Linked DNA regions of Caenorhabditis elegans. The protein of the gene in region 1 interacts with the protein of each later gene in a pairwise test. Each region holds a gene or a part of one and is shown on either strand. Other genes may lie near its edges.

The links.
Region 2: the proteins of die-1 (region 1) and nhr-111 interact in a two-hybrid assay, tested with the Caenorhabditis elegans proteins (2 studies listed by BioGRID).

What each region holds. Positions count from the first base shown.
Region 1 is NC_003280.10:10,061,726-10,069,660, reverse strand, and holds the start of die-1 (C2H2-type domain-containing protein), read left to right. Parts: upstream 1-1,743; coding exon 1,744-1,794; intron 1,795-2,494; exon of another isoform or gene 2,495-2,515; intron 2,516-3,677; exon of another isoform or gene 3,678-3,830; intron 3,831-5,158; coding exon 5,159-5,509; intron 5,510-5,855; coding exon 5,856-6,344; intron 6,345-6,408; coding exon 6,409-7,242; intron 7,243-7,288; coding exon 7,289-7,397; intron 7,398-7,449; coding exon 7,450-7,556; 3' UTR 7,557-7,935.
Region 2 is NC_003283.11:16,122,144-16,126,429, reverse strand, and holds nhr-111 (Nuclear hormone receptor family member nhr-111), read left to right. Parts: upstream 1-1,590; 5' UTR 1,591-1,648; coding exon 1,649-1,700; intron 1,701-2,108; coding exon 2,109-2,219; intron 2,220-2,261; coding exon 2,262-2,432; intron 2,433-2,628; coding exon 2,629-2,768; intron 2,769-2,823; coding exon 2,824-2,913; intron 2,914-2,954; coding exon 2,955-3,126; intron 3,127-3,175; coding exon 3,176-3,375; 3' UTR 3,376-3,535; downstream 3,536-4,286. Other genes in the region: fbxa-143 (F-box domain-containing protein), read left to right, coding at 1-313, 361-567; skr-3 (Skp1-related protein), read right to left, coding at 3,957-4,130, 4,194-4,286. UniProt on the Caenorhabditis elegans protein: Orphan nuclear receptor.

The DNA.
Region 1 (7,935 bases):
ATACGAATTTCATGTCAGACTCACTCATAGCCCCGCGGTGTCACTTGATTTGAATTACTTTTCGAATTAGTGGAGAAATAAGTGAGAGACTTGAATTCGTTAAGGGTGGGGCTTGAAATCGAATCGAATTGCTCCGATAGACCGCATGACAACCAGTTTTCAACACCACTTCACTTTTTTGCCCCGGATGTGGAACATTGATGTTAAGATACTTTTCCTGATTTACTTCCTTTTTAGGGTCGGAGTTGCAGATTTTGAGCTGAATACTCTGAAAGCGGGGTACCCAAAAACCAACAAAGTTTTCATACCTGCAAGCATACCTGACTTTACGCCTGCAAGGCACACTGGCAGGCATCATTATGTCTTACTTCATGAAATACTTTTTTAGAGATCCACCAACAACTTAGAAAAAATCCTTGTAATTCTAGACTAGTAGTGTAGTCGGGTAATTTTACAAATTACCCGACTACACTACTTAGACTTGCATGTTTTTTTGGGTTCTCCAAAAACTACCCAACCGCCAACTTTTTTTTGATCTATTATAAATCTTCAACCTGAAACTGCAGGCAACTTCCCTTATGTATCACTTTTTCCTGCCGAATTTCAACATTTCTGACCTAATTTAAACTCGTTTTCATGTTTCTCTCTCTTTTTTATTATGTCAAAACCTTGAAGTCGAAACTTCTAGATTTCAATTAGCTTTCATAACGATTTCAAAGCCCCAGACAACTTTCTGAACCTTGAAACTTAAAAATATATTATTTTAGGAGGCAGGTGAAGATTTTCATATATTGTGAGAGATTAAACGTAAATGATAATTTTTGAATTAGTTCGTTTTAAGAAAATGACTCTGATTTCATATCAGTGTCATATAATTATAGAATTTCAAATTTTCATTTTGAAAGCTTCACATTAATAGTTGTTTACCCTATTTTTGATATTCCCCAGACATTCAATTCGTTGAAATATTAAAAAAAGAATCTTGTGAATTGTTATATACACCTGCCAATTTCACTCGCCCGCCATGCACCAGTGTGCTGAAATTGAAATTGAAATTGAAATTGAAATCGAAAAATATGGAAATTTTCCACTTTTTCCTGCTTCTCCCGCCGAAAGCTCAGACCAGACCTCGACGCAGAAAAAATTTCGTTTGATTTAATTTCGAAATCACTGGCGGAAATATAAATTGAAAAGCCAAAGGTGTTGGCAGTCGGCCAAACGCGATTAGGGGCCAGCCAAGAGAAGGGGGAGAAAGAGGTTGGAATTGAAATTAATATATATTATATTTATGTGCAAGTAGGCGCTGCCCCCCACCAATATGCACATGTTATTGAGATTTCGAAAATCAGTTAGTTAAAGCTTTAGGCACCAAGTTTTATTTTTTTTCAGTATTTCGCCTTTTTTTTCAGTCCTATATATTTTTCGGCCGCTGGAAACTGGAAAACAAGCGCTCGATTTCTGCAATACCTGTGTTTTGTGTTTTTCGGTTCTTTCTTAGTATTTCGAAAAAAAAATTAAATGAAACTACAATTGTGTTCATCTATCCATCCTTCTTCTTTTGGGAATTCTCATAGACACTTGGTTTATTTTTTACTTTTTTCATCAACAATTCGTATATATTATCATATTTAAAACCTGAGAAGATTTCAAAGTATCTATTAAATTTTTCTTGTTTTTCAGAAAACGCCAGTTGATTCGACTTTTGGGAATTGTTCACAAATCGTTGAGAATCTTCATTCGGACATGATGGCCAACGCGGTCGATATGCAGCAGTTGCTTATGTCGATGGATCCGGTAAGAAACTTGGATTTTATGAATTTGCACTAGAGGAGCCATTTTTAGTCAACTTCTAAAATTAGAAGCGGAAAAAGTTTGCAAATTTCTACCTTTTGGTTTAAAAAATTTTTGCAAATTTTTGGGGGCCATAGTTTTGAATGTTTTTAAGCCTGCTTATATACATTTTGAGCCTGTATTGCCAAGACTTTGGTCATTTTGAACAATACAGTAGCCATTTGTAGGTCTACTTTTTTCAAGTTTTTCGGCTTTGATATTACCTAGCTCCAAAAATTTGTTATATATATTTTTGAATATTATCTTATTTATTTTAAAATATTTTCTATCGCCACTTATATTTTCAAACTTCTAAGACTTGGCCCTCTTTAAGCTTCTGATTTGTGTCTATAATTTTTCTAGTATTTTTTTCAGTTTTTCTTTAGAAATTAAAAGAATTTGTCTAACATGCGATTTGAATTCTTAAAAAAGAAGAATTTACGATAATCCATCCCGTTGTCTACTATTTATGCAAAATAATCAGCTTATTGCCCCTTTAGCCAAATCTAAATTTAGATAAAATCACAAGACTCGATCTGAAATTTTCTATTTGTTATCCCACTATGTTCTAGTAGATATTGTGTAAAGTTCCATTTTGGGAACATATTTTGGTTCTAGAAATTTTTTTTGATCTACCTTTGGGGTCTCTATTTTTGTCAATACTATTTTATCACTCAGTCTCAGATCAAAAGGATATGTCAAAAATGAATATTATAAAATTTTTGAAACTGTTTGTTTTTGTGTTGGGCTCACCATTAATTTATTATTAACCTTTAAGATGTTTAATTTTTAATTTTCAAAAATTGTGCGTACTACTGTATCTAACCAATATTGATTTACCACTTCCCTTTGTCACTCCACCGCTAATCCACTTGGCAATGAGCCAACAAATCTTTGAATTCCCATATTCAAATGACGAAGATGAACATCTGCTCAAATTCTAGTAAATTTGGAATTTGGGAAAAACCATCTAGCCCGTTGCGCAAATATGAAACAGATTCCAATGTCAGATGTGAAGGGTTAATTGATCGTAAAAGTGTTGTGTGGGAAGAAAGAAGAGTTTGGACCATCCGAAATAAATATGATGTAGTGGTGGTCAAGGGCGTTGATGAATTTCCATAGATAAGGTTCACATTGTTTTTTTGATGGAATTTTAGGATTGGCCTTGGATTTTGACATTTTTGTATCTCCGTTCCTTGGAAGTTTCTTTTCAAGCACTAGTTGGAGTTCTCATGTGCTTTGAATGAATCACTTGGAACTGAAACTTTGTAGAAATGAACTTGAATTCAAGATTCAAGCATGACTATTCTAGATTGACTTTATTCATTAAATTTCCTCCCGGTGAGCTCCTTCGAGTTCACACACGCCTTGCGAATAATTCATCACGGTTTCATAAAAGTTGAATAATCTTGTGGTGCTGGAGAAGTATCTCCCTCTACCCGGCTTCTGAGCTCTTTCCGTCTCCTTTTCAATTGAAAATAGAAAAGAGTGGAAAATTTTAGTAAAAATACGGAAGGTTGTCTATGTGACAAGGTCCCTTTTCTTGCCGATGGATATTTGAAACGAAAATCGCAGGAAACGATTACTCGATTAAAGTGAGACACTAGGAGACACTGCCTGGAGCCTCTTTTCGGGTGAAATTTGAATATGCTCCGCCTACTTGTTTGGGTTTTTGAGAATTCCGAGATTTTGAAGAAAGTTTTCAGTGTTTTTCAATTTATCTAATAGATTCAAAAGTGCTAACACGATTATAAGTACCAAGAAAAGCTCGGAGATCCATATTTCTCTTGACTAAAAAAGTTAAGGCGATTTCGTGTTCATACAATAATGCGTGTAGTTTCGATTTTGTTGTTCTTGAGAGTTTGAAAGTTATTTTAAGAAAATTTGAAGTTAAGGTATTTCAAAAAAGGTTCAAACAAGAAACTAGATCAAATCTTCGTTCATTTGACCCCTTTTCTTTACTCTTTGTCCACTCAATTTTTGTTTAGTTAGCCTTTTGACGCGTTCGGAGGGACCATTCAGACATCCCTCCCGGGAAGCCCCACCCTTTTCCCATTCTGTGTCTCCTCGAAACGTGTACTCTCTAGAAGTTATAAGTCCACTCTAAATACAGGGTTGTCTCCTCTTCTTCTCCTTCGTTTTTTACGTCTATCTCGCATTAGACACACAGAGACGGGAGGAGGGTCTCCCGCAACGGGACCACTCATATTCTCCCTTTTTGGTTTTTTCGTGTCTGAGTCTCTTCCCCCGTTTTTAATTTTATTTGCCCCCCCCCCCGTTCTCCCCGCGACGTTGCATTGAATTTATTGTTGAAGAGACATGGAACGGGTCAGTTGACCGACAGACGGTCCCATCAATTGTTCTTCATTTTTTCCCCTGTTCTCTTTCGATATAGTTTTATGATAGTTGAGAAGGTCCTAGGTACTGCGCAATAGTTTTTGGAACTGATAAACTGTGTTTCAAATATAACTACTGATAAGATACCTAGTCTTTTAGATCTAGAAATCGGTTCCCCAAATATTTAGTTCCATTAGAAATTTGGCAAACTTTTCTTAGATAATTCGAGATTTTGAAAATTGGTCAATTGACATTTCAATGAGCATGGTCCAAATTACCCCCTTATTTTTCTACGATGCTTGTAATCTCGTGTGAAATCTCACCTCATTAGACAATAGTCTATCCCTTCTCCCTTCACTACAGTACTCCTCCTTCCAATCTAATCCATAATTCTATTGTCTTTCAAATGACCCCTTACTCCTTCTTTTCTTTTTCATATCTGAAATCTTTTGTCAAATAACACTTTTTGATGGATCTAGTTGTCTTCTCCCTACATGTAAACTTTAACGTAAAAGAGCACAGAACATTGCTCTTGTTCCAAGACGGATGATCCCTCCACCTTCGCAGAATTAAATTTCAAAATATGTATAAATCCAAAAAAAAAATATATTAAAAACTTCCAGTAGATTTTCTTCATCTTTTTCCCATTTGGAAATGGAGCACTTTTTTTCCTAATTTTTTGATCGAAATTTTTGGCAACATATTCAATCTAATTTCGGACTATGAGCGGGGTGTGGGAAAAAAGTCATGTGGAAGTTTGAGTTTTTTGCCTCAATTTTTCTCAAATTTTTCTCAATTCACCTCAGTTTGGCATACCTAATCCCTTTATATTGAAACCACTTTACTTTGATAACCAAACACACAATTTCAATTCAAGATTGCTTCTTTTAAGCTCCCACGATCTTTCGTCTTTATAATATTTTCAACATTTGTAAATTTTCGAGTGCAAATAGTCTGCATATTTTTCATATTTCATGTTTTTGTTTTTCAGTCAAGCGCCAACCAATTCAATATGATGAATAAAGGAGGTGCTTGTGTCATGGCTACTTCTGGAGGATCTGCGAGCCCAACTTCATCTTCCGGAGCTCCATCATCATCTTCCATCATGGCAGAGACCGATGAGAAGGATATGTTCATGCCGAGCCAACTTATTCAAAACGGCCTTGCCAACAATCAATTGATGTCGATGATTCTCCAGCAACAGAGCAATCAGGCTGACTCGAACATCGCCGACGCTGGACACAACAACTCCGGAGCCGAGAAGAATATTATCGAGCTGCTGATGAGTGGAAATGCAGATTTGATGAAGTTCGCAACACAATTTGCTCAACAAGCTAAATCGGTAAGTTGTCAGCCAGACTTCATGCAAACAGATTAGCACCTAGATTTTTCAAATCTTGTACCAAGATTTAGACTTGAGAGAGTATTTGCAGATTTGAGTGGGCACCAATTTTAGAATTCTCTATTTCGTTTATTATCCAACGTTTTTTTCTTTATTTTGGATCCCATCTTTTCAAAAAGCTATAAATAGTAGAGGTGGAAGCCAATCTATTTATTAAATTATTCCTAAACGGATCTTGACAGATAATGCTGGATTTCGCTTGTTATCGTTATCAAAATTCGAAAATAGTTGTAATTTTTAAATTCCCCATTTGAATTTGCCACTTGAAGAAATAAGCCAATTTCAGGTTGATCAGGAGCCAGAAGAACAACGAGAATCCTCTCCAAGCCCACCACCAGCTGTTTCTCTGAACTCAACACTGGCATCCATGGTATTTCCGACCACCTCAACAGCTACGGAATGTAGTGCTGCTAGCACGACATCTTCAGTTGACTCAGCTCCATCTACAGTAATCGTCAATGGGCATTCGAATTCTCAATCAAATACAGATGATGATGATGTCACTCAGCAACCATCAGCCAAGAAACAGAGGACTGGAGATGAAACTCCATTGACACCAACTTCAAATAATCAACTCATGCAATCACTTCTCGCTCAAATGGGTCTTTCAAACCCGCTTCATCAGCAGAATCAGAAGCAGATGAAAGATGAATCTATGATGTTCAGTGGTCTCTTTCCACAAGGATTAGCTGGTATTCCACTGATGTTCCAGTCTCCTCTCCACCAACAATTTGCTGGAATGCAAGACTTTGAGCCATTGTCAGCTTTGTCCACAGTGAGTTTCAGTTTCTTTTCAATCGGTACATTGAAATTTCCTTTTTAAAATGCAAAATTTTCAGCCAAACAAGGGAAGTGGAGTCAAACGTCAATACTCTTCCAACAACAAAAACTTCTGTGATATTTGCAACAAGGAAGTTTGCAACAAGTACTTCCTCCGTACACATATGCTCAAAATGCACGGAATTGTGATTGATGAGAACAAGACAGTTATTGCAAATATCGACACAAGCATCAAGGAGCGAGAAGGAGAGCTTACTTTCCGATGTGACACTTGCCGAACTATGTTCAAAACTCGTAATCAGCTCAGGCAACATCGTCAGGATGTGCATGGAGTCTTGCCATTGTCAACTCCACGTAACAATCCAAACAAATCATCTGTTCCAACAACACCAAACGGAGCCAATAATAACTCTGGTCCGAATTCCGCCTCAATGTCTGAAGAAAAATGTGCATTGTGCGATAAAAGAGTTTCTCCATCAATGATGATGTTGCACATGGCTCAAGATCATTTTGGAGCTGCTGCAGCGAATGGAGATTTGAATCAAATGATGGCGATTCTCGGACAACGAAATCAATCAACTGAGGAAAAGATGAGCTCAAATCTTCTCGAATGTACTGACTGTAGTTACAAGACTCGTGATCCAAAGAATCTTGACTTGCACATGGAGAGGCATATCAAAATGAGTGAAGCGAAGGGAAGAGGCGATGAAGATGAGGATGTTGCTCTGCAGCTGACAACTGAAGCAGCTCTTCAAATGGTGGTTCAGAATCAGAATCAATATGACGGAGATTCAACGGCAGCCGCTCTCAATCTTACGTTCAAGAATGATGGAACAAAGAAAGAAATTGAAGAAGAGAAGGCAACTGGAAATCATGAGAGAAACTCTCATACGGTATGTTGACATATCTTATGATTTTAGCAACCATACTTTTTTTTAGAGTGGAAGCATTTCTCCCTCAGGATCAATTCCAGAAGGATTTGGAAAGAACATCGGAGAGAAGGCGTTCCCAACGCAGAGCTTTTTGATCAAGTGCAATGATGACAGTGGTAAGTTGACTTTTAAATTAGAGCTTTTCCTTACCAAATTTTCCATTTTCAGGTGAATTCCTCACCGAGTTCCTTGCTCAACTGCCTGTCCGATCAGTGATCGATGGACCACGTCAGCTGGTGTTCAACCTCCATCCAGCTCCACCGACTACCAGCTAGATTTGGTCCACTACCTCAAAAATGCTCTCCCACCATCATAGTATCTACCTTTTTTCTTCTCAATCTGTTGTATGGGTACCAAATGTTCCGGAACCAAATGAAAATCCCCGCCTTTCTCGTCTTTTGAAGTCCGTATCCTCCTTGTAATCTTCCACCACCACTCGCCCCAGTTCTTGATCTCCGTTACCGAATGTTAAAACACGTGAATATGTAATTGTTTTTTGTCTCATCTTCCGCTCCCCGAAACCTCTTTCATCACAGCCCCCCAAATTCTCCCAGTTAGCAACGGGCCCAAACATATTATCCACATTTTTTGTCCTAACTCTTCAGCCAAAATTTCTATTTACAACTTAATGCAAACTCTGAAGCTTGAAGCTTG
Region 2 (4,286 bases), on another chromosome or scaffold:
TCTTCTTGATGTTTTGAAATCCTCCATGTCTTGCCTACACGTTAAAAAGTTTCATGGGACAGATTTCTCCGAGGAGCAGCTTCTATTAGTGATCCCTTTCCTAAAAGCTGGATATCTTGAAAAAATTGAGCTGCTTTCCAATGAGCCCACAGATCTCGAGAAAATCGCTAAACTTGAGCAATGGAAAAGAGCACAAGTTTTTGATTCGTTCTGGAAGAGTTATAAGGTTTCTGTCGAGGATATGCTCCATTTCAGAGAGTTCTATGTAATTGTACCTTGCTTTTCAAAAGAGGATGCAGTAAAACTGAGAGATGTAAGTTTAAATAAAAAATCGAAAAAAAATCCAAGTATTATTTTCAGTTGCTCACAAAATCAGTGGACTTCGAGAACGGGTGCTTCAAGTTCCCCGAAACCAACATTATCGAAATAGTGAGAGTTTTCATTCTGGACTACGAAGGAGAAGAACGGGCCAAAATTGATTATAACGAGAATGGCACAGATTTTATCTTGGACTTTAGCACAGAACACTTTCGATTGACAAAAAAGAAGATTGTGGACAGTGACTGAAATTAAATTTTAAAAAATATGATTTTTTTTAAAAGTTTTTGTATTGAATAAATTTGAGACAGACCGACGGCTCGAATTTCAGGTCAAAAGTAGAATTTTGCAGTTTGCATAATTTCAGTTTTTGATCACCCCATTCAGTAGGGAGCCATAAAAAATGGAATGATGATTAATATGCTCTTCTGAAAAATTAGACTTGTGTAAACACAGTGACGGATAACGACGTACGATTCGATAAAAAGGAATAGCTGCGGGAAATGGTGAGCACATGTGTAGGCTAGGAAGCAGTAGGCATTTTTTAGATGTGTTTGGTGCGGTTCAGTCAATTTTTTGCTGGGCTTTTGTGCTTCACATTGAGAGCGTTTTGATATTTTTGACTAGAAACTGAATGTGAGAAAATACTTGTTTCCGAGTATACTAGATGCTATACATAGGTTTTACAGTTTTATATCTTTATTGCATTTAACTGAAAATGACCAAAATCTGAAAAGTACGTAATTGGAAAATGTATGTCAAATTTCAGAATTTAATTAAATATACAACTGAATCGAAATCTGAATATTCTGAAATTTTCAATGAAGATCTCAGTTTTTTTTCCACCATCTTTTGCGCTAGGTTAGCTTAAAGACATTTTTCGTTTAAAATGAAAAAGTATTTAAATGAAAAATGACATATATTACGAAAATTTCCGCTTTCAGAAAATGTGATATCATATATTTCCAGCGGACAATTTCCGCATTTCTATGACTCAACAATTTATAGTCCAAATTTTATTTCAATTCGATCATTCCCTAGTGAATGTTTGCTTCTGATTGATTTCAACTTTAAATACACAAGTGATCTGAAGTATGGTATATCTGCAAAAAATTTTAGAGAGATTGCTGCTCAACTTTTGGCACCTTTTCTCTCGTTTCTCTAACTGTCACTTTATCCTTCTTGTACTAAGCCGGCTGCCTCCAACAGGTCAAGTGGGAGGAGTCGTGATTAGAAGTTGAGCAGTAACCAAATTATTTTTATGCTATTATTGTAGATACTGACAGGATATTCTCAACTTACTCAACGAGAGAATATTTAACAAAAAAAGATGAGCAGCCAAAATGCGAAGTCAATCGGTGGCATTTTGGAAACTTCAACAGGTATGCCCCAATTTATGGGATCGAAAAATTTTTTCATGCTTTAACTAGATAATTACTCAACTCACCGAAATGTATAAATGAAAGCATTTGGTAAAATATATCAGAAAATTTTTAGAAGTCGAAAACAAACTTGCAACGTTGTTTTCTAGATTTTGGAATTTTTTTGACATTTTCGAACAGATTGATAGCAATTTTTGTACTATACTTGTTGACATCTCAAAAATGTATTCTATGTTTCCATTATTTAGATCCCAGTTACGTTATAACCTGACAGAGGTTTGCGGGCGGTAAGTAGAAAAACCAGAAGCTTACAAAACTTGACCGCACTTATCAGCTTCTCAATTTACTTAGTTCAAAAGTTTTATGACAGAAGATTTACAATCTTTCACGCATATCTATAACTTTCAGTGCCTCTGGTCATCCAACCGCAGATTGTAAATGACCCCGCGCAAAACAACATAACTCTTCCAATCACGCTTTGTGCAGTTTGTGGGGACACTTCTAACGGAAATCATTACGGTTGGAAAGAAGATTTAGAAACTAGATAACAATGAATTTTAGGTGTGCCAACCTGTTTCGGATGCAGTGGGTTCTTCAGAAGAACCGTTAGAAACAAGTTGGTACATGGATGTTGGAATGGAGACGGAAACTGTGTGATTGATAAAGCGAACCGGAACAGGTGCAAGTCCTGTCGAATTAAAAAGTGCTTCAAGAAGGGGATGAATAAGAATGGTAAGCTGCTTCTCTGAGTTTGGGCTTCAGATCATTAACTTTGTGTTTGCACCATATAGTGCGGTAGGTATTTTTCAGTGGCCGACATTTTTTTGAGTTTCGCGCCGCACCATATTAACAAAGGCCTGAGGCCGGCAGAAGCCTCCTGAAGCCGGCGAAGGCGACACAGTTTCGTCTCTAAATAATTATTTTCCAGCTGTGCAACCCGAGAGAACTTCCCATAGCTACACTGTAGAGTATGTCGAGTTGCCCTCATTCCGAGAGTATTCCAAGGGACTTCTGCCTACTCACTCTGATCGTCTCAGATTCCAACACGAACATGCTCAACATGAAATTGTTAGTTAATCAGGAGACAAACTATCAACCTGAGACACCACAAATTTAATTTCAGGACACAAGCTCCGTGCTAGTTCATCTGAAAAACGCACTCCAGTGGGTGCAACAGTTTTCGCTCTTCGCAGTGCTTTCCGATGTTGAAAAGGTCTAAATGCCAAACATAAAAGTCATTAAAAAAATTTCCAGAGCCAGATCATACTGACCCAGTGGCCACATCTTTTGTGCCTCGCGTTGTTCGAAAACTCCGAAAAAATCTTCATCGATGAAAAATTTGCACAACTGGCTGAGAAATTCAAATCCCTCGAACTTTCGGCGCAGGATTATTTCCTCTTGAAGGGAATTATTATTTTCACGGAAAGTAAGTTTAACTAGAAAAGCTGCTGAGCTTTCAGAAACTAAAATTTCAGCCAAAGATGGCACTGATCTCAAATTCGATCGCCAACTTGATATCTGTATCGGCCTTCTCAATCAGTTGCACCTGGAGTCTTCAAAGTCCAAATCTGGAAGGCTTCTATTTCTCCTCGGCGAGCTTAAATCCTATTCTACTAGACAGCTTGAATCTCTCCTGGATCTTAAAGCTTGTGAGATTGTGATTAGTTTTCTTTAAATTTTGACTATTTTTCTGATGCTGTTATATGCACACATTACCCCCATTTTGCTCACTAGTAGTGCTCAGCTTAAGCTTAGACTTAGGCTTACGGTTAAGCTTAGGCTAAGGCTTAGGCCTTGGCATAGGTCCTGGCTTAGAGATTTTCATTTAATTTGCAACTGTTTCCTCAAAAACAATGTTCAAACCCAAATTTCTTTCCTATTTTTTCTCCAGATTCCCCCAAGGCAACCAAATTTTTTAAACAATTTTCTTCTCGATCAGTTGAAATACTTCCAAAAACGTTACAACGATTTTGAACAGTTTTTTTACAAGTCAAAACAGTAGTTGGCTGCAAATTTGGCCGCCAAAGTTTTTTTTTTTTGCAAATGGTAAATTCATACACAATGAACAAACTACACAATATACAGACGTTATACATTTATTTAAATTATATTTTTTGTTGGAAGCAATGTAAAGCGTACTTGACAGACAAAGTTTTTTTTTGTTTAAAATAATTTTTGATTTTGTTTTAAGTGACATAAAAGAGGTATGTAAACCGAATCAGATAAAGTTCAAGTTAATTATGTTTACCAGGGAGCTTAATCCTCGCACCAAGCGTTTTCCTTCTTCATGGCCTCCCGTTCCTCCTCGGAAAAATCGTTCTCAATGTTGAAGAGGGTTCGGATTTGGCTTGGAGTTTTACCCTTCATCATGTTAGCCACATTCTGGGTGGTCACGTCCAAAAGCCCACGGATGTCGAGGTAGTTGGCGGCCTGAAAAAGAAATCGGTTTAATGTTCAATTCTGGAGAATAGCTTATAAAACTTTAATATTTACCAAGATAATTTCGAACAAGGTTCCCTGATCGACTTTCATGAATTCGGCGTCCCATTCACTAATGTCTACCGTCTTTTTGTTTTCGTCGACTTT